Linked DNA regions of Danio rerio. The protein of the gene in region 1 purifies or fractionates together with the protein of each later gene. This does not show direct contact. Links are inferred from orthologs where the notes say so. Each region holds a gene or a part of one and is shown in the gene's direction. Other genes may lie near its edges.

The links.
Region 2: the proteins of prpf8 (region 1) and ttc27 purify together in Homo sapiens (affinity purification with mass spectrometry; 3 studies listed by BioGRID and IntAct, with this or other methods). This does not show direct contact. The link is inferred for Danio rerio from reciprocal best matches to the Homo sapiens genes PRPF8 and TTC27.
Region 3: the proteins of prpf8 (region 1) and snrnp70 fractionate together in Homo sapiens (co-fractionation; 3 studies listed by BioGRID, with this or other methods). This does not show direct contact. The link is inferred for Danio rerio from reciprocal best matches to the Homo sapiens genes PRPF8 and SNRNP70.
Region 4: the proteins of prpf8 (region 1) and sart3 purify together in Homo sapiens (affinity purification with mass spectrometry; 4 studies listed by BioGRID, with this or other methods). This does not show direct contact. The link is inferred for Danio rerio from reciprocal best matches to the Homo sapiens genes PRPF8 and SART3.
Region 5: the proteins of prpf8 (region 1) and crnkl1 fractionate together in Homo sapiens (co-fractionation; 3 studies listed by BioGRID, with this or other methods). This does not show direct contact. The link is inferred for Danio rerio from reciprocal best matches to the Homo sapiens genes PRPF8 and CRNKL1.
Region 6: the proteins of prpf8 (region 1) and eftud2 purify together in Homo sapiens (affinity purification with mass spectrometry; 9 studies listed by BioGRID and IntAct, with this or other methods). This does not show direct contact. The link is inferred for Danio rerio from reciprocal best matches to the Homo sapiens genes PRPF8 and EFTUD2.
Region 7: the proteins of prpf8 (region 1) and zgc:103692 purify together in Homo sapiens (affinity purification with mass spectrometry; 4 studies listed by BioGRID and IntAct, with this or other methods). This does not show direct contact. The link is inferred for Danio rerio from reciprocal best matches to the Homo sapiens genes PRPF8 and C9orf78.

What each region holds. Positions count from the first base shown.
Region 1 is NC_133190.1:30,754,849-30,758,821, reverse strand, and holds the end of prpf8 (pre-mRNA-processing-splicing factor 8), read left to right. Parts: coding exon 1-183; intron 184-272; coding exon 273-401; intron 402-511; coding exon 512-625; intron 626-705; coding exon 706-879; intron 880-1,024; coding exon 1,025-1,218; intron 1,219-1,301; coding exon 1,302-1,541; intron 1,542-1,620; coding exon 1,621-1,762; intron 1,763-2,120; coding exon 2,121-2,261; intron 2,262-2,369; coding exon 2,370-2,509; intron 2,510-2,631; coding exon 2,632-2,834; intron 2,835-2,936; coding exon 2,937-3,091; 3' UTR 3,092-3,473; downstream 3,474-3,973. UniProt on the Homo sapiens protein: Plays a role in pre-mRNA splicing as core component of precatalytic, catalytic and postcatalytic spliceosomal complexes, both of the predominant U2-type spliceosome and the minor U12-type spliceosome.
Region 2 is NC_133192.1:24,158,036-24,161,535, forward strand, and holds part of ttc27 (tetratricopeptide repeat protein 27), read left to right. Parts: intron 1-2,257; coding exon 2,258-2,422; intron 2,423-2,601; coding exon 2,602-2,741; intron 2,742-3,500.
Region 3 is NC_133178.1:30,714,563-30,718,710, forward strand, and holds the start of snrnp70 (U1 small nuclear ribonucleoprotein 70 kDa), read left to right. Parts: upstream 1-1,348; 5' UTR 1,349-1,547; intron 1,548-2,061; 5' UTR 2,062-2,068; coding exon 2,069-2,215; intron 2,216-2,307; coding exon 2,308-2,370; intron 2,371-3,244; coding exon 3,245-3,299; intron 3,300-3,386; coding exon 3,387-3,451; intron 3,452-3,559; coding exon 3,560-3,622; intron 3,623-3,711; coding exon 3,712-3,793; intron 3,794-4,148. Other genes in the region: E3 ubiquitin-protein ligase RNF113A, read right to left, coding at 70-177, 373-471, 556-632, 777-882. UniProt on the Homo sapiens protein: Component of the spliceosomal U1 snRNP, which is essential for recognition of the pre-mRNA 5' splice-site and the subsequent assembly of the spliceosome. SNRNP70 binds to the loop I region of U1-snRNA.
Region 4 is NC_133180.1:21,195,851-21,199,350, forward strand, and holds part of sart3 (squamous cell carcinoma antigen recognized by T-cells 3), read left to right. Parts: coding exon 1-24; intron 25-110; coding exon of another isoform or gene 111-120; coding exon 121-188; intron 189-269; coding exon 270-328; intron 329-446; coding exon 447-556; intron 557-3,500. UniProt on the Homo sapiens protein: U6 snRNP-binding protein that functions as a recycling factor of the splicing machinery. Promotes the initial reassembly of U4 and U6 snRNPs following their ejection from the spliceosome during its maturation.
Region 5 is NC_133195.1:52,275,093-52,279,174, forward strand, and holds the start of crnkl1 (crooked neck-like protein 1), read left to right. Parts: upstream 1-1,282; 5' UTR 1,283-1,333; coding exon 1,334-1,381; exon of another isoform or gene 1,382-1,837; coding exon 1,838-1,990; exon of another isoform or gene 1,991-2,694; intron 2,695-2,924; exon of another isoform or gene 2,925-2,956; intron 2,957-4,082. UniProt on the Homo sapiens protein: Involved in pre-mRNA splicing process. As a component of the minor spliceosome, involved in the splicing of U12-type introns in pre-mRNAs.
Region 6 is NC_133178.1:15,069,821-15,073,320, reverse strand, and holds part of eftud2 (116 kDa U5 small nuclear ribonucleoprotein component), read left to right. Parts: intron 1-1,082; coding exon 1,083-1,194; intron 1,195-1,280; coding exon 1,281-1,421; intron 1,422-2,272; coding exon 2,273-2,374; intron 2,375-2,472; coding exon 2,473-2,555; intron 2,556-3,458; coding exon 3,459-3,500. UniProt on the Homo sapiens protein: Required for pre-mRNA splicing as component of the spliceosome, including pre-catalytic, catalytic and post-catalytic spliceosomal complexes. Component of the U5 snRNP and the U4/U6-U5 tri-snRNP complex, a building block of the spliceosome.
Region 7 is NC_133180.1:33,917,012-33,921,192, reverse strand, and holds zgc:103692 (telomere length and silencing protein 1 homolog), read left to right. Parts: upstream 1-1,381; 5' UTR 1,382-1,466; coding exon 1,467-1,546; intron 1,547-1,732; coding exon 1,733-1,792; intron 1,793-1,908; coding exon 1,909-1,960; intron 1,961-2,082; coding exon 2,083-2,153; intron 2,154-2,234; coding exon 2,235-2,312; intron 2,313-2,405; coding exon 2,406-2,603; intron 2,604-2,722; coding exon 2,723-2,859; intron 2,860-3,619; coding exon 3,620-3,718; intron 3,719-3,813; coding exon 3,814-3,908; 3' UTR 3,909-4,059; downstream 4,060-4,181. UniProt on the Homo sapiens protein: Plays a role in pre-mRNA splicing by promoting usage of the upstream 3'-splice site at alternative NAGNAG splice sites; these are sites featuring alternative acceptor motifs separated by only a few nucleotides. May also modulate exon inclusion events.

The sequences.
Region 1 (3,973 bases):
AAGATAATGAAGGCCAATCCGGCTCTGTATGTGTTAAGAGAGCGAATCCGCAAGGGTCTGCAACTCTACTCTTCAGAGCCCACTGAGCCTTACCTGTCCTCCCAGAACTATGGAGAGCTCTTCTCAAACCAGATCATCTGGTTTGTAGATGACACCAATGTGTACAGAGTCACCATCCACAAGGCAAGTCAACATTTTAAAGATGTTCCTTGTTGTTTTGATTGTTTTGACCTTGGGTTGTGTGGTAAAATGTCAATTTTATCCTGTTTCAGACCTTTGAAGGTAACTTGACCACCAAACCCATCAATGGAGCCATTTTCATCTTCAACCCCAGAACTGGACAGCTTTTCTTGAAGATCATTCACACTTCTGTATGGGCTGGACAAAAGCGTCTTGGACAGGTCTGTTTATCACTCGTATTTTGTTTACACAGTTGTTTTTTATTTTTTTATTATTATTTTTTTGTACTTTTTTTTACTTATCCGACTGGTTACTGGTTCTGCCTTTGTAGTTGGCTAAGTGGAAGACTGCTGAAGAAGTGGCTGCCCTGATCCGATCGCTGCCTGTTGAAGAGCAGCCCAAACAGATTATTGTGACCAGGAAGGGCATGTTGGATCCTCTTGAGGTTAGGCACTTAACCTTTAGCAACCAAAACGAGTGTTGAAGCTCTTAACTCTTAGGTTAACAACTATCTGTTTTCTCCAGGTGCACTTGCTGGACTTCCCCAACATTGTAATCAAAGGCTCTGAGCTCCAGCTCCCCTTCCAGGCCTGTTTGAAAGTGGAGAAGTTTGGAGACCTCATTCTGAAGGCCACAGAGCCTCAGATGGTCCTGTTCAATCTGTATGACGACTGGCTGAAGACCATCTCCTCTTACACTGTAAATCCAGCTTTTATTCTATAAACTTAATAAATATAAGCTATTCATTAAATTAAATAATCATTGAAGCAAAATTTTGTTGTTTCTGAGAGTTCCACCACTTATGCTACGATGTCTAAAACTAAAATCTGTTTTTGTTGCCTAGGCATTCTCTCGTTTGATTTTGATCCTGAGAGCGCTTCATGTCAACAATGATCGTGCCAAAGTTATTCTGAAACCTGACAAGACCACCATTACCGAGCCCCACCACATCTGGCCCACTCTGACGGATGAGGAGTGGATCAAAGTGGAGGTGCAGCTCAAAGATCTCATCCTGGCTGACTATGGCAAGAAGAACAAGTAAGAAATACAGATTTCCAAGTGCATTCAAAAATATATACTTTGGGATGTTCAAGATTGTAAATTCTCAATCTTCTCCACAGTGTGAATGTGGCATCTTTGACTCAGTCTGAAATCAGGGACATCATCCTGGGAATGGAAATCTCTGCTCCATCCCAGCAGAGACAGCAGATCGCTGAGATTGAGAAGCAGACCAAAGAGCAGTCTCAGCTTACGGCCACTCAGACTCGCACAGTCAACAAACACGGAGATGAGATCATCACCTCCACCACCAGCAACTACGAGACGCAGACCTTCTCTTCCAAAACTGAATGGAGAGTAAGGTACGGAAATGTTTCTTGTCTTTTTGGTCATTAAAGCACAGCTAAAGTTCGCTGTTAAACCGTTTTCTTCATCTCACAGGGCGATCTCTGCTGCAAACTTGCACTTGCGTACCAACCACATCTATGTGTCATCGGATGACATCAAAGAAACGGGCTACACTTACATCCTGCCCAAGAACGTTCTGAAGAAGTTCATCTGCATCTCAGATCTGCGTGCTCAGGTTAGATTAACAGTCTAATTAAAATGTCTTCTCTTATTTTTGCTTAGAATCATTTCAGGGCTGTCATGATATCAGATTTAAACAGTATATGATCTGTGGGAGTCTTGAAAAAATTTTATGAGTAAAACAAATTAGACTTGGAGGAGAAAGTTTCTTTAGTTCAAAGTATGGCAATTCATGAGACTAACACTATTTTAATATATAATTTTATGTGTAATATTGAAAAGCGTCTATTTCTGCATCATAACTTGATAATCTGCCTTTTTTTTTTTAAATAATTATTTGAAATTAAATAAAAAAATTGGTTTTCCACTACCTTTCTTGCATTATTTGTGCTTGTATATTTCCCCCCTTGCAGATTGCAGGTTACCTGTATGGAACCAGCCCTCCAGATAACCCTCAGGTGAAGGAGATCCGCTGTATTGTGATGGTGCCACAGTGGGGTACACATCAGACCGTTCACCTTCCCAACCAACTGCCACAACACGAGTACTTGAAGGTCAGGAATTTACACATGCACATTTGTTGTATTTGCACATCTAATTTGGTGTTATCAGCAGTCTGTGTCCTCCCAGCCTTTTCAAATGCTGCCCTTTTTCTTTTATAGGAAATGGAGCCTCTTGGATGGATCCATACACAGCCCAATGAATCGCCCCAGCTCTCTCCTCAGGATGTCACCACCCATGCAAAGGTCATGGCTGACAACCCATCCTGGGATGGCGAAAAGACTATCATTATCACTTGCAGGTATAGATTAAACACATTAACACAATGTGGCTGTGTTCCTAACTTCCAATTTATAATGTACTGCATTACATATAATATAGTATTGCATGTGAGACTTAAACCTATTGGTTTTGCTTGTCTAGCTTCACCCCTGGTTCCTGCACACTGACGGCCTACAAGCTGACTCCCAGTGGATATGAGTGGGGTCGACAAAACACAGATAAGGGTAATAACCCCAAAGGTTACTTGCCTTCACACTATGAAAGGGTTCAGATGCTTTTGTCTGACCGTTTCCTTGGCTTCTTCATGGTGCCTGGCCAAGTCTCCTGGAACTACAACTTCATGGGTGAGCATAGATTCATTTTTATGATATATATTGAAGTGATACACGTTTGTAAATTGCAGATACCACAGTGCACTTTTGCTAATTTCTCTTTTCTTGTTTTAGGTGTCCGCCATGATCCCAACATGAAGTATGACCTGCAGTTGGCCAATCCGAAAGAGTTCTACCATGAAGTCCACAGACCGTCTCACTTCCTCAATTTTGCTTCTCTGCAGGAGGGTGAAATCTACAATGCTGACCGTGAGGATATGTATGCATAAGTACAAACAGAGACTATTTAAAGTAAAAGCACCCACAGGCTAAAGCAATGCTTTGGTTCTGTTTTGTCCCTCTATACTGTTAGCAGTAATGTAAATGCTTGGAAACTCGAAGCATGTCATCTGTTTTTTGCTTTATCATTAATTGCTTGTCATTGACTTGATTATGCACAAGTCTGAAAGCACATTGTGCTTTGTCTGTTGTTGTGAGATGAATGACTTTTTTGTCTAAAAATATCTGTACCCTTTTTCGGAGTTGTTTGTAGTACATTGTGTTTTTTATAAATCCGGAATAATTTGTCTTTTCCCTGTAGCTATGTTGTGCATCTGTTATGTACACTGTAGTTTGGGTTTAAATAAAGATTACAACTTTTATAAGCTCTGGTTTGTTTCGTAGAGTAAATTATTGGTTTGTTTACTAAATTAACAGTAGCTTTATTATCTAAAGTGCAAGGACACTATGCTTTCAGAGGAAACCAATCTGCATGCATTTGTTACAGTACACTGAACAGCTCAGCACTCAACTTAATATGGCAAAATGTGTTAACATTTAAATGTAATATTAACTGATAAAATAACAGTACTCAAGTTTGGTGGAAAAAAATAATTTAAAGGGGTGGTCTACTGTGTATTTTTAAGGCTTGGTTGTGTTGTAAAAGATGCAAAGCAATGTGTGCTCATGCTTCATTTGTAGAAAGTCATGTTATTTTTTTATATCTTACTTTGATTATATACAGCAAGGCAGCTAACATGAAAATGACAGTCATATTTCCTAGTTCCTCTGAAAGGCCCGCCCTCAAAAGGCTCTGATCGGTCAGCTAACATGTGCTGTGATTTGCGGATCGGCTCGCATCATGCCCCTACAAGCCCACGCCTTGGTGCTGT
Region 2 (3,500 bases), on another chromosome or scaffold:
CTCTCTCTCTCTCTCTCTCTCTCTCTCTATATATATATATATATATATATATATATATTAGGGATGTAACGGTATCAGAATTTCATGATACGGTAATACCTCGGTATCAATGTCACGGTACGGTATTTATTGAATCATTTACAGGAAAAAACAAAACTTATGAAAATACTCCAAAAAAGTGCCAAAAGTGTCAATGACATACAAATTAGTCATCTATCTGTAAGCTTTGAAACAGGAACTTCAATTTTAATAACAAAAAATTATTAAACCATGTAAAAAAATAAAGTTTCAATTTAGTATTGTTGAAAACTCATCACATTCAACATTTAATCACTCACTCACTTAGATAGAGATGGGTTTTAAGGAAAATTATCATATAAATATAATCTGGTAAAAGCTGTTATCTCTGGGCATTTACAATGTCCCCTGCAACAGAAAAAACCCCTCTCATTTGGGACTGAGGTTTCTGGGACAGAGAGATATGACTTGGCCCAGGTTGACAGCAGTGGTTAACGTTGTGCATTGTCTTTTCCCCACTTGAGAGGACAAGGCAAGCCATGAGATAGATAGAGGTCTCATGTCTGTATCAATCTGAACAGTGTGCTGTGTCACACCCTCTGTCCCGCCCTTCAGTAGGCGCGCGACAACACAGCTGATCAGAACGCGCCCAACAACACCGCTATTCAGTATGCGCGCGACAACACAGCTGATCAGAACGCACGCGACAACACCGCTATTCAGTACGCGTGCGGCGACAACACCCGCTTCAGGTTCGATCATTTCCAGCTCTTTTTGATGCCCGCTTCTAGCAGCACACTCCATTTCCGCATTACTGTATCTGTAGCGACAACAGACCGCAAGGGCTGATGGGAATTGTAGTTTCCGCTACCTCCCGTTCGCTTCATTCGCCTGAGCAAATTTTCTCAGAAGACCTATAGTTTTACCGAGTCATGCGACTACGGTAATATCGAAAAAAATGAATATTGTGGTATGACGGTATTTACAATACCGTTACATCCCTAATATATATATATATATATATATATATATATATATATATATATATATATATATATATATATACACACACACACACACACACACACACACACACACACACGCGCACACACACACACGCGAACACACGCGCGCGCACACACACACACACACACACACACACACACAGTTGAAGTCAAAATTATTAGCCCCCCTGAATTATTAGACCGCTTGTTTAGTTTTTACCCAATTTCTGTTAAATGGAGAGAAGATTTTTTTTTCAACACATTTCTAAACATAATAGTTTTAATAACTCATCTCTAATAACTGTTTTCTTTTATCTTTACCATGATGACTGTAAAAAAAAAATTTGACTAGATATTTTTCAAGACACTTCCATACAGCTTAAAGTGACATTTAAAGGCTTAACTGGGTTAATTAAGTTAACTAGGCAGGTTAGAGTAATTTTGCAAGTTATTGTATAATTATGGTTTGTTCTGTATATTATCAAGAAAAAATATAGCTTAAAGGGGCTAAAAATTTTGTTTTTAAAAATATTTATTTTTATTCTAGCCACAATAAAACAAATTATCAGACATACTGTAAAAATGTCTTGCTCTGTTAAACATCCTTTGTAAAATATTTAAAAAAAGAAAAAAATTCTCACTTCAACTGTGTGTATATATGCATGTATATATGTATGTATATATATATTTATTTATTTATTTTTTTTTACTTGATTTGTTTTCTGCCTTTTTCCCCTCATTTGTTCTTTCCGTTTGTTGTTCAGTCTTAGTTTTCGTCCTCTAACCTTTTTTTCCATCTATCTTTTTTTTTTCTTTTCCTTGACTTTGTTCATCATTCTTCCTTCCTGGATTTCTTTCTTCATGTTTCCTCCCTTCTCTCTTTCTTTTCCTTCTTAGTTTCTCTTCCATATTCTTCCATCTCTCCCCACCCTTTTACATTGTTCTTCGTTTATTTAACCTTTCTCCCATCCTTCCTTCATTATTCCTCCATTGGTCTTCCTTTTTCCTCATTCTCCATTCCTTCTCCCAAGCAGTTTCTCCGTGGGAATTCAATCCAGTCATATCCTAGAAACAGATATAGGCGATAGATATGTTTATTTCTTTACAGTGCAACCATGTGGAAGTCAGAATTATTCTACATTCAAAGACGTGCTATGCATTCTATGACCATTTTATGTGAATGTTGAATTGTAAATGCTGCCTTCTAAACACTGCTCCCTCCTCTGTTTCTCTAGTGTGTAAATGTGACGAGCTGTTCAGCAGTAATGCACACAGAAACCTGGCCATTCAGTTCCACCTGGAGTGCAGTTATATCTGCCTGACCTACTATGAGTATCACAAGGCCAAAGAACATCTGCAGACGGCTCGTGATCTGTCAGGACTCGATGTTAACATGACAGGTAGGCAGTATAACTTGAAGAAAAATGATTGTACTTTGCTGATGGATAAATGGTGGTTCATAGCGAAAGTAATTGACATATGCAATGAATGAATGAGGGATGTATTACCCTGCAGTGCGAATGAGGAAACACTGATGTAATGCATTAAGGATTAAATAATTTTCTGATTTTTCTCTCAGGTGCTCTAGGGAAGCGAACTCGTTTTCAGGAGAACTTTTTGGCTCAGCTCATCTTAGATGTAAAGCGAAAGGACAACTCGCCCTTTTACAACTCAGAGAGTCCCTCCAGTACACCAACACCTAAAGAGCTCCTACCAAAGGTACACAGAGAGTTAAAACTAATTTTAATTATATACAATTAAAATGTGTGTGTGGATGTTTCCCAGAGATGGGTTGCGGCTGGAAGGGCATCCGCTGCGTAAAAACTTGCTGGATAAGTTGGCGGTTCATTCCGCTGTGGTGAGCCCAGATTAATAAAGGGACTAAGCCGACAAGAAAATGAATGAATGAATGAAAATGACCAAAATGTAACGTGATAATTGAAAATCATTGGAGGGGAAATAAATAATATATTTAAAATCTCTGAACATAACAAGAAAATTAAACAATGATAAGGTTACTATAATAGTGTATTTATAGTGGCAGAAATAGGGCACTTTCTCTAATAATAAAAATATAGCACTTAAATCATTTCATTTTTAACAATCAATTAAATTACGCTGCGGTTTTATATAAAAAGTTGATAATGATATAAAATATACAAAATTTTGATGGTAAAATATAACCCTTTAACCAATGGCTGTTATTTGTTTCAGTATTCAAACATCAAATAACGAATGCAGCAATTGAAATAAAAAACAAATGTGAAGCAACACATATATAGCAGGAAATGAAGCTAAAAAGGACTATTATATTTTTGCAAAATGCTGATTTTCTATCTTTGTATTTTTATCATTTTATTTTTGTTATTTTAATTTTTTTTGCCTTAATAATAAACCAACAAGCTACAGATAAATTCCTGCTTGACTATTTAGAATATATTTTGCGCAGCTGCCCAGTATAAAGATCACCGAGAACAA
Region 3 (4,148 bases), on another chromosome or scaffold:
ATCTGTACATAACATACATAAACCTGACTTTACAATGATGCAGCCAGTTATTTCCAATCACCCGCATACCTCTTGGATTTTCTGACTGCGCTCAAAGATGGCCTGAGCATCTTTGTCCCTCTCTGTGTCCAGCTCATAGACAGCAGTGGCCCCCATGTCATCCGGCCCCTCTGGTTTCTGCAACACATAGTCAAATACACTCAATTACAGCCTTTAATGTTTCAATGAGACAGCGCAAAAACTGTCAGACGTTAATAGAAATGTAAAGTCATACGTGGTCATGAATTATTAGGCACCATCAAGCGTTTATATTCATAATTTGCTGTAGCATAAATCATGAAGCTGTACAAATGTTGGGTCAGTCAGACTCACCGCTGAGCGAGTGGACTTGTAAGCGACAGTCACGCTCTTTTCTTCCTTCTCTTCTTCACTTTCACTCGATGAGACAGCTTCCCTCTCCACTTTCTTCGTCTATAAAACGAATAATAAATATAATAATGATGACATCAGTTTAACAGCGGCTAGTTACATAAAACACATGAAATACGGACATACTTTCTGAATCATGGGGTTCACAGCGGCAGATTTCTTCTTTCTGACCACTGCACTGCCCTCATCGCCGCTGCTTTTTTCTGATGATAAAGAAACAAAACACTGAACTGCAGACATGTATTGAGCATAAACATTAATTAAACAGACGGCTTGTTGTAGGGATTATAGTTTCTCAAGTCAAACTCGCTGTCGATTGAGACACTGAAGAAAGAAGCACAACGTACCTTTGTCGCTGTCACTTGCATTTCTTTTCCGTGCGGAAAATTTCTTGTTTGATTTCTTAAAAATAAATGTGCAGGTGGGTTTTTTCGGCTCCTCGGACTCCGCCATCTTTAACTACGTATAAAAACAAACGATGAAGTCATTTTTTGGTTACAGCGCCTCTTGTGTTTGGGAAGAAACGTAGAATGGGAATGGTTTACTGCTGTTGTATTTGATATGAATATATTCCCATTTAACAATTGATAATGTACATATCTTTACTATTATTATTAATCAGTAACTAGCAATATTCAGACAATATTTGGATGCATGCATTGAGCAAAATTAAGGATAAAGACGTTTTAAGGTATTTTATGGTGTACTTAAAGTAAAATTATGATTTAGAGTGAATTTTTTCCCATTATAAAGGTAAAGTCTAGTTAGGATACTGTGGATACGTACATCAACATAGCATAAGTTTTGTGACACTGTATAACAATAAATAATATTTTACAGTACAAATTCCACACTGGCCACGCCCCTATCGTGAATGTACCACTAGACGTAAATGTGTCGTGAAACACCGCAGCGGTTTACGGCCTCGCGCCATTTTAAGAAAGGAACGACTCGTTCAACTGGGTGAGAACACACGTTGGGTATTGTGTGGACCGAAATACACACAAAAATACCGAGTGAATTAAAGAAATTCATGCACGAAGGTCTTCCACAGAAACACGCAAGAGGATTTTGGCCCGAAAATCGGAGATTTCGTTGGAGCCGAATGAAAAACTGAGGTAATTGACTGCAGGAGGCCGTCCGTGGAAATGTAGGCGATCTCGGATATGATCATCATGAGAGAGTTGGTGAATTAGCAGAGCTGACCGTAACCACGACTGAGCTTTGCTTTATTTTTGTGTATTAAAGAGTGCACTGATATTAGTTATTAGATGCGTCTCTTTTTGTTGATGCTACACTAACGTGATCTGATGCTGAAGTTGTAGTTTGTTTAATCATTATGTGGAGAATAAAAGTGTTTGTTTGCACGAAGCTAACCGAGAAAGCTAAGACTGCTAGCAGCTAACTTCACGAGACTCGTTTAAGGGGTGTTTGTTTACTGATCCAGATCTATGTGAAGACGCTGAATTTTCAGTTTGAATCTGTTAGCATGATTTTGTCTGCTTATTTAAATCCACCTTATCTTAAATAACGTCTTATTTACCATTTTCACACAGTAACTGCTTAACTTGCATGAGGTGCTCCTAATTGTTGATTATTTTTTTTATCGTTTGTGTTTTTTCTCTCTTCCAGGTGAACAATGACTCAGTTTCTTCCGCCGAACCTGTTGGCATTGTTTGCCCCGCGGGACCCCATACCGTTCCTGCCTCAACTGGGAAAGCTTCCTCACGAGAAACACCACAACCAGCCCTACTGCGGAATTGCTCCTTTTATCCGGCATTTTGAGGTGCTTTTTGACTTGTTATTTTATGTAGAACGGTTTATTTATCGATTTCTTTGTTACATTGATGTATAACTGTTTTTTCTGCTGTTTATTAGGACCCCAGAGATGCCCCTCCACCCACAAGAGCAGAGACACGGGAGGAGAGACTGGAGAGGAAGGTGAGCGAGACTTGTCTGAATAGACTCTCTGTGGGGAGTTTACTAATGTTTTCTCCTGCTGAATTGCTTTTAGATTGACAGAGCTGCACTCAGTAGTTTTAGTGGGCATATAAGTACAGACAAGACGTGTTTGAAAAGCTTGTTGATACATGTCACATTGAGTTTAACCATAGGTCATCCTTGTCCCAAACTTTGCTTGAGACCACTGCTAACAAAATGTTTTTTTTAATTGAAGCAAAAAAAGTTAGAATATTTACTCTGCCTCCACTTGTTTTAAACCGGTTATATTTTGTGTCATCTGTCCAACACAAAAGTATTAATGTTTTGGAGAATATTAGAAACCACATGCCATTGATTCCTTGGTGTATGTATATATATTTTTTTTCACTGCAATGGATGTTAATCGTGACCATTTTTTGGTATGTTTCTTTTGAGTTCAACAAAAAAAGGAATGCGTTTCCACTGGAGGATGAAATAATTTACATTTAATGTGCACACGATTAACTTTCACTCTATTGTTGAAACTTGGCAATTCATTCACAAATCCCTTGTGTTCTGGACCGTTGAGTCTTGACAGCTATGAACACTTGATAATGCTGAAATATGTTGCATAGCCCTAAGTTTTTAGAAATCATTTGTCAACGCACCATAATCAAATTCTGAAAAATCGATGAAGGAACTTGATAGCAGTCAGCAATAGTAAGATATGCATTGCAGAAGCTTTTGTGTAAATGTCACATGCTCTATTAATCCAGTAATATGATGCAATAAATGACCAATAATAAGAATGTTATCCAATTATTTACATTTGTACAGTATTTAATGTAAAATTATGGTAACTAACTACTTGGTTATTTGTTCATTTCAAATCCAGAGAAGAGAAAAAATGGAGAGGAGGCAAGTTGTGGTTGAAGGAGAGCTGAAATTATGTAAGTGTCTTTAAAATAAAGGCTTTACAGTTGTAAATAAAGTCATTAAAATGTTCTATATTAACCTTATGACCTGTATCTCCACAGGGGACCCACATAATGACGCTAATGCCCAAGGAGATGCGTTTAAGACCCTGTTTGTGGCTCGAATTGTGAGTATTTTTTGGTCTCAAGCATAAGCTTGTCGGCTGACAAAAATCTAAATGTGTAGAGGTTGTTTCTTGAAGACAAATCTTACATGTTTTATTCTATTTATGCAGAATTATGATACCACAGAATCCAAACTGCGGCGAGAGTTTGAGGTCTATGGTCCTATCAAACGGGTAAATTGTGCTGAACGTGTATTATGCATATTAATCTTGGGTCAGTTTGTTTCCACTGTCTTATTCTTGTATGTATCTGCTATTATTAGATCTACATTGTGTACAACAAGAAAACTGGAAAACCAAGAGGCTATGCGTTCATTGAATACGAGCACGAGAGAGACATGCACTGTAAGTAACCAACATATCTTATTCTGCCTTCAGCCCCTTAAATGACCCCAAAGCAAGGTTGCACCAATGGTTTTTGTATTTCCAATAAGAGGCATTTAAGTCTTATCAAAACCCCTTATTAAACACCAAAGGAAGAGTCAGATGCAAAAAGCTCTTAATTGCATCTGATATATTTATAAATTGAGCATTTTTTGAAGCACAGTGGTTGAGGAATTTCACTATTGTCAAACAATAGATTCTTTTCGTTCCCTTAAATAAAATATCTGAAATGCTCATTTTAGAATACACTTTCAGAAGGCATACCTTTTGCATCTGAAGTCTTCGTATTTTGGTTGTACTCTATTTTATCTCTGCA
Region 4 (3,500 bases), on another chromosome or scaffold:
TGACTTCAGTAAAGGCAAGAGCATGTGCTTTTCTGTTCTGTTACAAGCTTTGCTCAACTGATGATTAGATCTGAGTAAATTAAGTAGTTGATTATTGATGTTCATTGCAGAGTGGAGCAGGGAGTTGGACGAGCTGCGGGCAGCTTTCTCGCGCTCCCTTGAATACCTGAAACAGGACGTAGAAGAGAGTAAGTGTCTTGTCTGTTTTGAAGAGGTGTTAAGCACAGCTGTCTTAGGCATATTTTAATTACGGTCTCGCTTCTTCTCAGGGTTCAGTGAAAGTGGAGATCTGTCCTGCACGCTAATGCAGATCTGGGCGAGGATAGAGGTGAGGAAATGTTATACTGAGGCATCTGTCCGTCCTCCATTAACTAATGTCATTCTGCTGATTACAGTCTGTCCACAGTTATTACAGAGCTGCTTGTGTGTGTGTTTGCTCCAAACAGGCCTTACACTGCAAGAACATGCAGAAGGCTCGAGAGCTGTGGGATAGCATCATGACAAAGGGGAATGCGAAGTACGCCAACATGTGGCTGGAATATTACAACCTGGAAAGGTCAGTCACGCAGACTGATGGATGTTTGATACCAGTTAAAAAAAATACCACTGAATCTACACATTTTAAGCACGAGAGGTGCTGTATAATCCTTCATTTAATCCCCACGATGCTGTCAGCTGTGCAAGCAGCAGCTATATGCAACATTTAACACAGCTCTTGAAAGACTGTTATTGCTATTAAGATGACATGAAAATAATAAGTTATATATCAATATAAATGTGGAGGGGGGCGATGGATCGCGATGCCGGCTGAGCATTGTGAAGTTTGTCGGCCATCGGCGATGGACGATGGCATCGTCTATCGGCACAACCCTATTTCAGTTCTTCCCGTAGGTTTGAAATATACTTGCAGAGGTAGCTGGATTGAAACACACCTTTTAAGCACAGCACATAACTGGTGAACTACATGCAACAAACAAAAATAATGTCATTTTTTCTATGTATTTATTTGTATATATACAATAAATATACAAAAAAAAACATTATATATATATATATATATATATATATATCTCTAAAGTTCCTTTATTGGCATGACGTTTACAGTATTGCCAAAGGATTTTAGATGGCCCTATGTAAAAAAGTATGTAATTTATTAACATCATTAAATTAAGAAAATATACAGCAATAAATAAAAGAAAAAGGAATAAAAATAGACATTATTGCTTTAAATGGAATTAAGTACTAGAATAACTAGTGTAGATTATTTTAATTAGGCAAACTAGTTGATGAGCCATTTCTAATGATGTACAAATATTTTACAATTAGTATATTTTGTTCTGTCCGAGTATATAGTTAAGTCCATCAGAGTCGTTTATTAATGATAAATTATTTAATGTTCCTCTCGCAACTGTTCGTGTGCAGTCAGCAGTGAAAAGATTATGCAAAACGCATTCAAATAACAACAACTTTAGAAAGCAAAAGTAAAACCCGAATCCTGGACATTTTAAAAGATTCAAACTACGGTCAGATGAGAGATTTTCCACTAGTAAATCGATGAATGATGATCGGGAATGTTTGTGGCTTTCTTGGATGCAAAAAAAGTGTAAAAGAATGATGATAATACTATTAGCTGCGTCCCAAATCGCATACTTATGCACTATTCTACGCCATTTTGTAGTATAAATAGTGCAAGTAGTGTGTTCACACTGAAAACTATAAAAATAATAAGTGCACTTTAATTTCCCGGATGATGCACTCATTCAGCCGCTAAAATGAAGTGTGTAATGATGGACACTTCACGCACTCAACGACCGCAGGTTTGCTTACGTAGCGGAAGAGGCGGAGCTATCGCACGCACATGTTGAATAACTTTATTTATTTTGGACGGTGAGAACTAAATTCTTCTACGAGAGTGATTATAGTGCCTCCCGATGGTGAATGCGGCAACACTCACGGCAGGTAATATTTGATAATTCGGTCGTTTATTTCACTGATTTGGCAACCGTGAAACGTCATCAGGGAAACGGTTTGAATTTCCGCTTAGTAAAAAAACATTAGTGCTCCATTTGGGACGCCACTACATACATATACTATCCTGTTGAGTGTGTAAGTGCATAAGTACATAGTGCATGAGTGCATAGTGTATAGTGTACCATTTGGGACGCAGCTATTGTTTATTTGTCACCACAAAATATACTTGGGTGGCCGTTAATATACCTGGGCAGCCCGCCCAAGTAAAGTCTATGTGAGGTAAGCACTGCATTAAAAAAATTAAACCGCTTTTTCATTATAAAGAGCTTATTTAATAACATCTGATCTGACAGTCTATGACAATTGCATTTTATAAAAAAGGTTGCTGGATTATTCAGCAAAAGTTAATCTAGACAAAATCATGAGTTCATAGTATTTTTCTAAAATCTGAATATTTAGTTTGCAGAAATTTTATTATCTTAAATATTCTGTTATCAATACACAATTTTATGGATTTATGGGGGTCAACAGTATAGAGAAGCGCACAGTGTTGGATTTGGATTAGTTCTGTCCTGCGTGCTGCTGAGATTAAAAAGAAGAGATGAAATACAAATAATAGAATATTTTCAAATGATAATTTAAGAGAAAGAGCAAAAAAAAAAAAAAAAAAGCCAGTTGGTATTGAATTACAGTTGAAGTTATTAGTATTAGTAGTTATTATTAGCCCCCCTTTGAATTATTTTTAAATATTTCCCAAATTATGTTTAACAGAGCAAGGAAATTTTCACAGTATGTCTGATAATGTTTTTTCTTCTGGAGAAAGTCTTATTTGTTTTATTTCGGTTAGAATAAAAGGAGTTTTTAATTTTTAAAAAATCATTTTTGGGACAAAATTATTAGCCCCTTTAAGCTAATTTTTTTTCGATAGTCTACAGAACAAACCATCGTTATAGAAAAACTTGCTTAATTACCTTAACCTGCCTAGTTCACCTTATCAACCTAGTTAAGCCTTTAAATGTGACTTTAAGCTGTATAGAAGTGTCTTGAAAAATATCAAGTAAAATATTTACTGTCATCTTGGCAAATATAAAATAAATCAGTTATTAGAAATATGTTTTTAAAACTATTATGCTTAAAAATGTGTTGAAAAAATCTTCCCTCCATTAAACAAAAATTTGAGAAAAAATAAACGAGTGCTAATAATTCAGGGGGGCTAATAATTCTGGCTTCAACTGTACATTGGATCGTTTTCATGAATGGTCTCAGAATTGTGGATTCCACTGTATAACTAAATTTGTTACAACAGTATTTTTTAACAGCAAATTTACAAGGGAGTTATGATGACCTAAAAGTTTGATATTTTGTATTGTCGAGATATTAAAAACAACGTAATTTTCATGTAAAGTTTCAAATAGAAATCAATAATTAAACCTCATCAGTTCTCTTAATTTGTCTGTTTTTTGGTACAGAACATTGTTTTTGTAAGTAAAAAGTGTGAGAGCCACTTCAGTACAGCAAAAATACCTAAA
Region 5 (4,082 bases), on another chromosome or scaffold:
GTATGTAAACATTCGAGCACAACTGTAGACGTAATATACAGTTGAAGTCAGTTGAATTATTAGCCCCCTTGTTTATTTTTTCCCTAATTTCTGTTTAACGGAGAGCAGATTTCTTTTCAACACATTTCTAAACATAATAGTTTTTGCTAACTCATTTCTAATAACTGATTTATTTAATTAATCATGATGACAGGTAAATAATATTTTATTAGATAATTTTCAAGATACTACTATACAGCTTAAAGTGACATTTAAAGACTTAATTAGGTTAATTAGGTTAACTAGGCAGGTCAGGGTAATTAGGCAAGTTATTGTGTAATGATCTGTAGACAAAAATATAGCTTCATGGGGCTAATAATATTGACCTTAAATTTTATTTTATTTTTTTATTTATTTTATAAAAACTGCTTTTATTCTAGCCAAAATAAAACAAATAAGACTTTTTCCAGAAGACAAAATATTATCAGACATAATGTGAAAATTTCCTTGCTCTGTTAAACATCATTTGGGAAATATTTAAAAAAGAAAAAAAATCAAAGGGGGCTAATAATTCTGACTTCAATTGTACGTTATATGTTTTTCGTCTGTGTGCACGCACAGACTTATTTTGGTAAACAAATAAATAACAACTCTTTACGGTTATTTCATACACAATAACAAGCAATACATAATTAACAAATTAATAAAAATGGACATTCACTTACATTAAAGATAGGTCGGACTATAAAAAAATCTAACAGTGAGCGAATAAAGTTAAATAACATAACGTTACATGTAACTTTACTTTGAGCCTCGTCACTAACCTTTATAAAAACAAATAAACATTCACACACATTGAAGAAAATTCGGTTTAACAATAAACAGATCTAACAGTAAACAAATAAATAACAAACGTTTAAGGTATTTAATTGAGGTAAGTTAACGTTATTAATGTAAAATGTTGAGTTTTGAACTCAGTCACTAGCCAATAATAGGCAAAAATATTTTAAAACAACAAGCATTCACTTACATTGACAAAAAGTCGATACACAAGCAACATAAAACAATTAAACAGGTATTTTTGGTGTATAACAATAAAAAACTGAGTTTTAACAGCCTCAAACTGCTGACCTTTTATTTATTGATAACGTTAACCGCTAGCAAGCGTCCTGTCACCATGGTGAGATGCTCCGTGACGTAGATGCAGGCAAAGGTCACAGCGCGTCACGGCAGGCGCGACACACACGGCACTGAAACGTCGCTAACCTTACAGGTTTTAGCGGGCTTTCGAAATCTAAAACACAAGAACATACGTCTAATTTATTTTTAATAAAGTGTCAGGAGCGTAATAATCATGGCGTCCACCGCGGCGGGCAAACAGAGAATCCCGAAAGTGGCGAAGGTAAAACCTATATGATGTTTTTGTGAGTTAGCATTAGCATGTAAACAACGTGAAGTCGTGCTGACGTTACTTAATAATTAACTACTGTATATAAATGTGGTTAGTGGAGTTAAGCTTATTTTTTTATAATGTATTTGTGTTTGTGTTCAGGTGAAGAATAAACCCCTGTAAGTTAGCATTAGCATGTAAACAACATGTAGTTCTGCTAACGTTACTTTATAATTAGTTAACTGATGTATAATGTGTATACATGTAATCAGTTGAGTTAAAGGTTGTCTTGCTTTGTAATGGTTTTGTATTAATGCTCATGTGAAGAATAAAGCTGTGAGTTAGCATTAGCTTGTAAACAACGTGAACTTGTGCCACTCTGAAAATAACAACTGTATAATGTATAGAACTATAACCAGATGGGTTAAAGATTGTCTTGTTTTGTAATGGTTTTGTGTTTGTGTTCAGGTGAAGAATAAAGCCCCTGCAGAGGTGCAGATCACCGCCGAGCAGCTGCTCAGAGAGGCCAAAGAGAGAGAGCTCGAGCTGCTGCCACCGCCACCCAAACAGAAGATCACCGATAAAGAAGAGCTCAATGACTACAAACTGAAAAAGAGAAAGGTATGAAATGTTGTATCACCATGTAGTATACCATGGTGTCACTATATGCATATGTCATAAAGTAGTACTAAATTACTGTGCATGTACTGAAAGCTTGGTTCTGTCATGGCATATGCCTCAAAAATATACAGTAGTGTCACAATTGCTTATAGAATGTGCGCAGTGCTATCATGATGTTCAGAAAATATGGTATTGATATGGTGTGTAGATTATAAAAGATGATATCGCTATGGTTTAAATGTATTATTTTATTATGGTAAACCTCTAGAAAACATGGGCATTATCACAGTGCATATTCAGAAAACTCAGAGGATATGCAATGTCTTGTTGGGTTTATAGTTGACCAGAAGACAGTTTATATATGTATATAAAGTGGAAGTCTGCCTGTGTTTTATGGACTGCCGCTGTATGAACATTTCAAGAACGTATAAAGCATCCAGGTGTAACGCTTCTCTTCCTGAAGACGCAAATCACTCAGGCGGACACAGAGAACTGCGTTCTGCGTTGTTTATTCTGTAACAGAAATATACATCCTCTGGCAACAGTATGCATTTAAACATGCATCGCCTTTCTGCATTCAGCAACCATTTTCTGCTGTGTTGCCACAAAGTCATTTTAACAAAACATTATTTATTTACAAAAGGTTAACATACCTGTAACAGAAATATACATCATCTGGCAACAGTATGCATTTAAACATGCATCTAAAAAAACCAAACAAATAGTAAGAAATCACCCTTGCACATATTAATGTCATCATTCCAGCTACACCTAGCATGAGCAAATTAAACCACACAAAGTTTGTCACACACGGCAATCACTCGACAGATTTGATCTAAAACATCACTTAATGTTCATATTGGGCTTGTATGTGTTATTAATATGTGTTAAAATACAAAATTTGTCACATTTAGCTGGAGCACATTTTACCTACCGCCTTTCTGCATTCTGCAACCATTTTCTGCTGTAGGCGGGGTTTTGCAGGTGAAAGGTGAAAGAAACAATTACACACTGTTGCCACAAGAGGTCTCTCAACAGCCACAAAATAAACAAAATAACCCATTTTGGTGAAAGACAATTAAACATTATTTTAACCCTGTTACACAGGCACAAGAAATTAGACCATTTGTACCTTTAATAAAGATACATTTTTAAAATAATTTTTACAATAAAGAAGATGCAGTGTTTTATTTACATTTGATTTTTTTGCAATTCCTGTACCTGTTTGCTGTTTGACAAATTCATAAAGTAACAATACTTGTAATTTTTTGTTATTTTTTTATGCATGATTCAATCCTTTATTGCAATCAGTCTGAATTAATAAACACTTCCCAAATAGAGTTAAGGCATCTGATGGACCTATATTCATTTTGCATTATTTATCACAGAAAAACAAAATATGTCAATGTTTGATTTATTTTTCAATATCTTGCACCCCTAATGTTCATGCTTTGAATATGCTATGTCAACAAGGTACATCTGGTCACAACATGATGTTACCAGTGTAAAGGTTTTGTCAATTTGATGTTTCGCATTTGATGTTCGTTTCTATAAAACTCCTAGTATACATGTACTAAACTCAATAACACATGGTATTATTGTGATACATACTTTAAAAGCTTCATATACATAGTGCATCTGCAGAAAATATGTCATCAGTATATTATGTGTCAAAAAGAATAAAATTATATTAATATCTTAAAGTTAAAATGCCACTGTCAGTGGTATATAATTAGGGGTGCACCGATATGGGTTTTTTAGTGTATATCGATAACTAATAACTCTTCAGACTTGGAGGCTGATAGTCGATATATATAGGTCGATAATTATAAATGTTTAAAAATGTTATATTTTTAAACTTAATAAAAGATTGAACTGCTCTTATGAACTGAAAAGTCTACTCAAACCAAAAAAGCTATAATTTCAAAATTGCAAGGTGGTTATATAGACCTATATTCACGATTTCACATAAATCAGCATGCAAGAAAATTAATTATTTCCTTTTCTTCATAGCAAATTAACATGCAACTTCACTGTTGCATAAAAATAATAGGTTAAATAACAAAACAGGATTTAATCAACAAGCAAGTTA
Region 6 (3,500 bases), on another chromosome or scaffold:
CTCCATTTACTGAAAAAGGAAATAGTCATCATTATCAATTTCTGTCCAATAAACTGTTTTATAGCTTGGAATATCTAGATTTAAAGACATTTTTTAAGTATTCCACAAATTATATAATATTTAGACATTTGAGTCTAGAAATAAACTTTAAAAATTAGGATTTTTTGAAGAGTTGTTAAATGAGGAGTCCTGTTAAACATTATTGCAGTACTTTCTTTGGCTAATTTAAAATACACGTGCAAGTATCAATCAAAACACTATTGTGCAGTTATGAATCTGCACAAAGTTGCCAATTCAAAATGCTGTGAAATATTTTGGATTAAAAAAAAAAAAGATTTCTGACACTGGATAATGGCATGTAGTTAAATGTTAGTAATTACAAATGTAAGTGTATTCATATAAAGGGTTAAAGCAATAGTTTACTCCAAAATTACAATTCTGTCGTCATTTACTCACCCTTCACTTGCCACAAACATGTTTGAGTTTCTTTCGTCTGTTAAGAAGACAATATTGTGAAACATTTTGGAAACCTGTAACCATTGACTTCCATAGTATTTGTTTTACCAACTGGTTCCATGTTTTGAACATTCTTCAAAATATATTCTTTTGTGTTTACTAGAAGTTTGGAAGTTGAATGTGAGTAAATGGTAAGTTTACTATTTATTTTGGGAAGAACTGCCTCTTTAAGAGGACAACAATAAAATATGTCCATCTTTAAAACATGTATTTTGTTAAAGTAAAGTGTACTGTCATAAAAGACTCATCTGTCAGGGATTTATTGTGCCATCAAAAACCATTTTGATGGTCATTGTTTAAGTGGATATTATGGTATTGAAGCCCTTTTAGGTTTTCCCCAAGCTGCCTTGTTGGAAACCGCTCTTTAAATGCCATACAAAAATACTTTTTTCAAAATGCACTGAAACAAACTAGTGTTGAAAAAAAAAAAACTGCTTTCATTCTGAAAATGTTTCATTCAGACTGTTTCTTGCCATTTCTTCTGTGATTATATGTGATATTTTCTCGACACCAGTTTTTCAGTCTGTGTGGTTTTTGTAAATGTTATATTTGTTATGTTGTTAAAGGTATCAGATTGAAGTGAATCGAGTCCCTGCTGGTAACTGGGTGTTAATTGAGGGCTGTGACCAGCCGATTGTTAAAACAGCCACAATCACAGAGCCCCGTGGAAATGAAGAGGTGGGAAACAGAGACGTGCATTTGAAACAGCAGTCTTCATTAATAAGGCTTTTAAAACTCACTGTGCTTTATGTTGTTGCGAGCAGGCACAGATCTTCAGGCCACTCAAGTTTAACACCGCATCAGTTATAAAAATTGCTGTGGAGCCTGTCAATCCTTCAGAATTGCCCAAGATGTTGGATGGACTCCGAAAAGTTAACAAAAGTTATCCTTCACTCACAACAAAGGTAACACGCTCTTTTGCTGCCGGTATTGTTTAAAAGCTGTATTTCTGTTATGGTCAAATCAAATGCTACAAAGTAGTTTGCTTTATTTTTTTACAATTATTATAGATGTTTAAGGCTGTAAAAACCCTCACTACACACTTTATGCAATTTTCTCAGATAAACATCGACGTTTTTCCTGCAGTCACTGATCCACAAAACTAAAGCAGACTCCATCTTTACCATGGCCCTGTTGCAAACAGTTTTTAAAAGGGGTTGTATCTTTGTTGAAATCTCATTGCTGCTGTCGTCCTTATGTTATTTCCTTCCTTCTTTATGTAAAAGGCGTCATGCAGCCACATAACTTCTGCCATAGCATGTTCAGAAGTCCAACAGTGCGGAAAATTTCTGCGACATATTTCTGCGACTCCCCGACGTTTGTTGGGGAGAAAACTTGTAAACAGACAGTCCAGCACTTCAGCGTCACACTGCTAGTGATCAAAGATTCATGTAAATTTGGCAAGCTGAATGCATTCTGTACTGTACAGGAGTCTCGGCACTTAGGAGATTGATTGACAGTGATCTACAGCCAATCAGAACGCAGAACACTATGCACTTTAAAAAAAAAAAGCATGTCAAATTGCTTGAAAAATTATCCGCGAAACTGCGAGACCACGAAAGTGAACCGCGTTATAGCCAGGGACCACTGTATTAGTATTTGTCCATTTTTACGGAGTATTTAACATGCTCTTATGCAAGAAAAATTACAGATGTAAGTCTGACAATAACGTATTGTATTAGTACTTTGTTAGTGTAGTTAAATGCATAACTGAATGTTTTTTTTCTTTATTTGTTTGTTATGAATGTGTGTTTAGGTGGAGGAGTCAGGTGAACACGTGATTCTTGGCACAGGTGAGCTGTATCTGGACTGTGTAATGCACGACCTGCGGAAAATGTACTCTGAAATTGATATCAAGGTGCTCTTTTTTGCTTTAATAGTTTTACGGTCCTCATTTCTGCATGTATTTCTTTTTCCTTTTATGTGATTTTTTCTCTCTTTGTTTTCTCCCTATAGGTAGCTGATCCTGTGGTGACCTTTTGTGAGACTGTCGTGGAAACTTCTTCTTTGAAGTGTTTTGCTGAAACGCCCAATAAAAAGTGAGAAACAAGCTTCCTTTATTTCAGCATTCTGATTTAGTATTGACTGGAAGGAAAACCTTCAAATAAAATTACACAAGTGACCTTTTTTTTAACTGAGATTTGTACATCAATTGAAAGGTGTATGAATAATTGTTAGGATAGAGCAATGTTTGTCAGAGTTTGAACTTTTGAAAATCTGGAAAGCAATGGTTTAAAAATAAATCTAAATACTGAGCAGTTTGCAGATAACTGTGTATATGAATATTTAGCAATCTCACTTTAAGTTTTGATTTATTTACAGTAGGAAATTTACCAAATATTTTTTATGGAACTAATTTTTATTTAATATTCAAATGATTTTTGGCATTAAAGACAATAGTAAAAAAAACTTATTGACCCATACAGTGTATTTCTGTCTATTGGCCAAAAATATTCCCATGCAACATTAGGTTTTGTCATCCAGAGTCATATTTGAAGCTCTGAATCAGCTGAACCAATTGCTTTACAAAATTATTCACTGTTTCAAAGCACTAAAAACACCACAAGCTTTTACAAATTACATGCTTTGAAAGTGAAATATATCAAATAAAATTAACAAATCATAAAATAACGTCAATACAAAGTATCTTTATAATAATCTTTTGATTTTTATGGCTCATTTGTTTAATGGCGGTATTACGTAAACAGGACTAGTGGCTATAATTATTATTAGTCTCTGTAATTCCACAAGTATATGATTATACATTTATAAATCTATAAAACCAACCCAAAAACAAGTTAAAAACTACAGCCCTTGGTTCAAATGATTGACGCCACTCACTTGAAAAGCCAATTAAATTGGAAACAGTCTTTATTTGCTGAAATCAACAGTTTGCAACTGTTTTAAAGCTTCACAAAGCAGTGTCTGTGTGTGTTTTGCAGGAATAAAATCACCATGATTGCTGAGCCATTGGAGAAGGGTCT
Region 7 (4,181 bases), on another chromosome or scaffold:
AACATGAGGTTGAATAATAATCCTTTCTTTTTATTTTATTTCTGGGGTAAACAAACCCTTTAAGAATGTCTGGTACAGCTCTGAGACTGCGCAGCACCAATACAGTAAATAACATTGATTTTTAAAAATCTTTCTCCAAAATTAACAAAAATCAAAAAGTCAGAAACCATAAACTTTCATTAATATGAAATGATGACAAAATTATTTGATAAACTGTCCCCATAAGAACCTTACACTCTCATTACCAGTGAGAATTATAAATAAAAATCTGCCCTCATTGAATAGATATTAACGGAAATATATACCATATTATATAATATTTTTTTTATAAGTATAAAAATTTAAAAATATTTATAGAGTATTGAGGATGGTATCTATCTAGCATATCTGCTCAATGTGTGTTATGTTTCTGCCTAGAACTGTTAAGAGGCCAAAATTGCTGTTTCATTCGCCTAGTCAGTTGATGGGAAAAAAAAACATTCGTCCCGTACCAACACCTCCATTACAGCAAGGGAAATATACAATAATTGATATAAAAAAACATGATTCTATGAATCAAATTTTCACTAGAAAACTAACTTCAACTGAAGTCCGAAACGACGCAGAAAACAATCGCGTTAATATGAATGTAATGCAAACAATTCATCTGAATTAAAACATAATATCTAAAACAAAACAAATAGTTTTTCCTCTTCGTCTTCGGTGTTTATTATGTTCATAAACACACAGCAGTCCTCAAATACGTCACGGTGAACCACCTAAAAGCTGTTTAACATCACGATCTTGCAGAATAAACAGGCCATATTTCCACTCGGTCTGCAAGACACTATTCATACGCTGAGTCGACATGATGTTATCATATCAAACAACAGTGACAGTCCGATTTAGCAAAAGGAAAGACAGAAACAGATATTTACCTGTCATACAGAAACAAAAATATCGCTCATAGATAGTCATTTTAGGCCAATCGGAGGTGTTTGTAACAGTGGTGGGAAGCAGTGTAACGTTACTACTAAGCAGCATCCATACTGAATACAGCAGAAGCGTGCGTCACGGCTTTGACCACAGCCAATGAGCGCATTTCGTTCTTTAGCATGATCAAATAATTTTTTATTTACTTCGATTATAAAATACACATACTGCTTGTTTTACACGTTCATTTATCGTATAGAGTGTTTATTATTAAATTTACGCCGTTTTTGTTTTGTTTTTCTGTATCGTGTCATAGAAGCAGCTGATCTAGAACCAGTCTCATCATTCCGCTTTTCGCCGTTCAACGGCTGTACAAAAAACAGGCAAGCTGATCTGAGATCAACTGTTAAGACGACAAATGTGATGCCAGCGAGCGGAAGTTTCTAGAGAATGAGGTCCGTCACTAAACATAGACCGCCACCGTTGCGTACAGACGGACGAGGGGTAACGTAACGCTTATCAGTAAATAATTCGACGAGTTTTAAAAACAAGTCATGCCACCAGGTAAAAATTTTAGAAGAAGGAAAGAGGATTCATCCGACGAGGAAGATGATGAAACAAAATTCGTAGTCAGGTAGATATATTCAACACATTCAGGCCAAACAAAGTAAACACAGCTGTTGTAAACCGCTTGGTAAAACGAGCAGAAAAGATTAATGCAGCTGACTTGTTTAGTTTGTACATGCATTCAGAGAGGACAGAAACCTATTGAATGTGAAAAACTATTTAAAGATGTTACTTTTATTATATGTTTACCCAGGTCAAAACTGGATGAAGCCAAGGAGCTACAGAGTCTGCGAAAAAGGCAGCATGGAGTGAGGTTGGTCATGAGCTGCTTTGTGGTTGTTACTGTTGGTGGTGTTTACATTTTTCTTTCTTTTCATTGTGTAATTAAAGTGAGAATAATAAATGCTATTTTCCATTCTGTTTGTCCAGCATTGCAACGTTACTTGTTGGAGAGAAGCTTCCTTTAGAGGCTGAGCTTGAGGTGTTTTATTATTTTAATCAAACTACATTTTGCACTACAATACAAGCCTTGCAGTGTAACTTTGTTCTTCTCTATGAGCTAATAGAGGTTTGACATTTTGTCCCTCCATGTTTATGTCATAGGATGACCCATTTAAACTGAAGACTGGAGGTGTTGTTGACATGAAGAAAGTGAAAGACAGAAGCAGAGACATGTAAGAATTAAGTAAACATGTTAGCTTTTCATTTCAAGATGTCTCTATATTTGCATCTTGACACTTCCTCTTTTGTTACAGGACAGTGGATGAAAATGACCTCAATCTTGGTACATCCTTTTCTGCCGAGACAAACAGAAGAGATGAAGATGCTGACATGTAAGTGCATGCTTCTACATCACATACTCTCTGCATTGCTGGTTTTGTCACTATGTTTAAAGCCTCTCCCATCATGCATCTCATTTCACGCAGGATGAAGTACATTGAGACAGAGTTAAAGAAAAAGAAAGGCATGGTGGAGGCAGAGGAGCAGAAGGTAAAGGTGAAGAATCCAGAGGACCTCCTGTATGAGCTTCCAGAGAACATCAACGTCAGCTCTGCCAAAAAGACAGAAGAGATGTTGTCCAATCAGATGCTGAGCGGAATTCCAGAGGTGGATCTGGGGATTGAGTGAGTAAAGACACAAGCTAATTCATGGACATCAGTTATTGTTTTCTCTAGACTGGTGGCTCAGAACAAACAAATGATTGATGTCAACCTAAAAGCCTCTTTTCTCTCTTTCTTCTCAGCGCAAAGATAAAGAATATCATCAACACAGAAGAAGCCAAAGCAAAGCTGCTAGCTGAGCAGAGGAATAAGAAGAAAGACAGCGGGACCTCCTTTGTTCCCACAAACATTGCGGTCAATTACGTCCAGCATAATCGCTGTAAGTGTACACACAAACAACTGTTTGTTCAAACGTTTGTCAGTAAGATGTTTTTAAGTCTCTTATGCTCACATTTAAGGGATAGTTCATTTTTTTTCATTTGTTCTCCTTCATGTGGTTTTAAACAGTTATTAGTTTCTTTCTTTTGTTGAACCCAAAAGAAGATGTTTTGAAGAAAACTGATTGCTGGAATCCATCATCGTCAATGGCTTCTTTGTGTTTTGGTTTTGAACAAGTGAAGGCTGATTTAAATGATGGCAGAATTAAAAAACTTTTGAGTAGAAGTATCCCTTTAAAAATGTAATCTTGTGAAATATTTTTGCAGTCTGTAATTGCACTCATTTTCTTTTTTTCATAATCAGGTTTTTAAGATTATAAAAAAATGTTGTAAATTGTTCATTGTAAAGCTGAATTGTTCAGCAAACATTAGTCCAGTTCTTCACAATTCTTTCTAATACGATGATTTGGTGCCTAATTTACACATTTATCTTTCAATATTAAAAAAAACGGAAATTAATGTAAATTTCAAAAGCAGAGCATTTACTTAAAATACATTTTGTAACAAAACTGTACAAAGAAAAGGCCAATGATTGATTTCTCAAAATTGTTCACTAACCATATCTGTTTTCAAGTGTAAGCTTTTATCAACAGCTCTGTCTATGCCTAACAAATAAGTAAACAGTAAAATGTGAACCATATTTAAAACATTTGCTATCCCAAAGAAGAAAGATTAAGTCATCATCTGTTCTATTTTGTCAAGTCTACCATGAGGATTCAAACGCGCCCCAAAGACGCAACAGAGAAGAGCCTAAAGCCAGGCCATTGCGTGTAGGAGACACAGAGAAACCAGCACCTGAGGGTAAGATCAGATTGAAAACCTCTTCAGCTTTTATGCCCTGCTGTTTTTAATGTATTCATGTTCATATGATTTGGTGTATTTTTTTCGGTCTCCAGCCTCACCACCCAATTTCCGCAAGAGACCCAATAACGAGAAGGCCACAGATGACTACCACTATGAGAAATTTAAGAAAATGAACCGACGATATTAATCCTTCACTAATAATTCAGTTACCATGATGGAGTTTGTTTTTCCTTTCTGTAAACTGAAAGATGTAAATACTTTGTACTATATTTAAAAAAATGTCTCTGCTAAATATCTGTAACTTACGATAAGCTTTTTACAATAAAACTTCACCCAAATTGTTGGTAGTTTTTTGAAAATATTTTATAACAGAAAAACTTTTAGTTGCATAAATTTAGCGCATTGTTCAATTTCATAATTATATAATGATTGTAGAACAGTTCCACATAAATGCTCAATC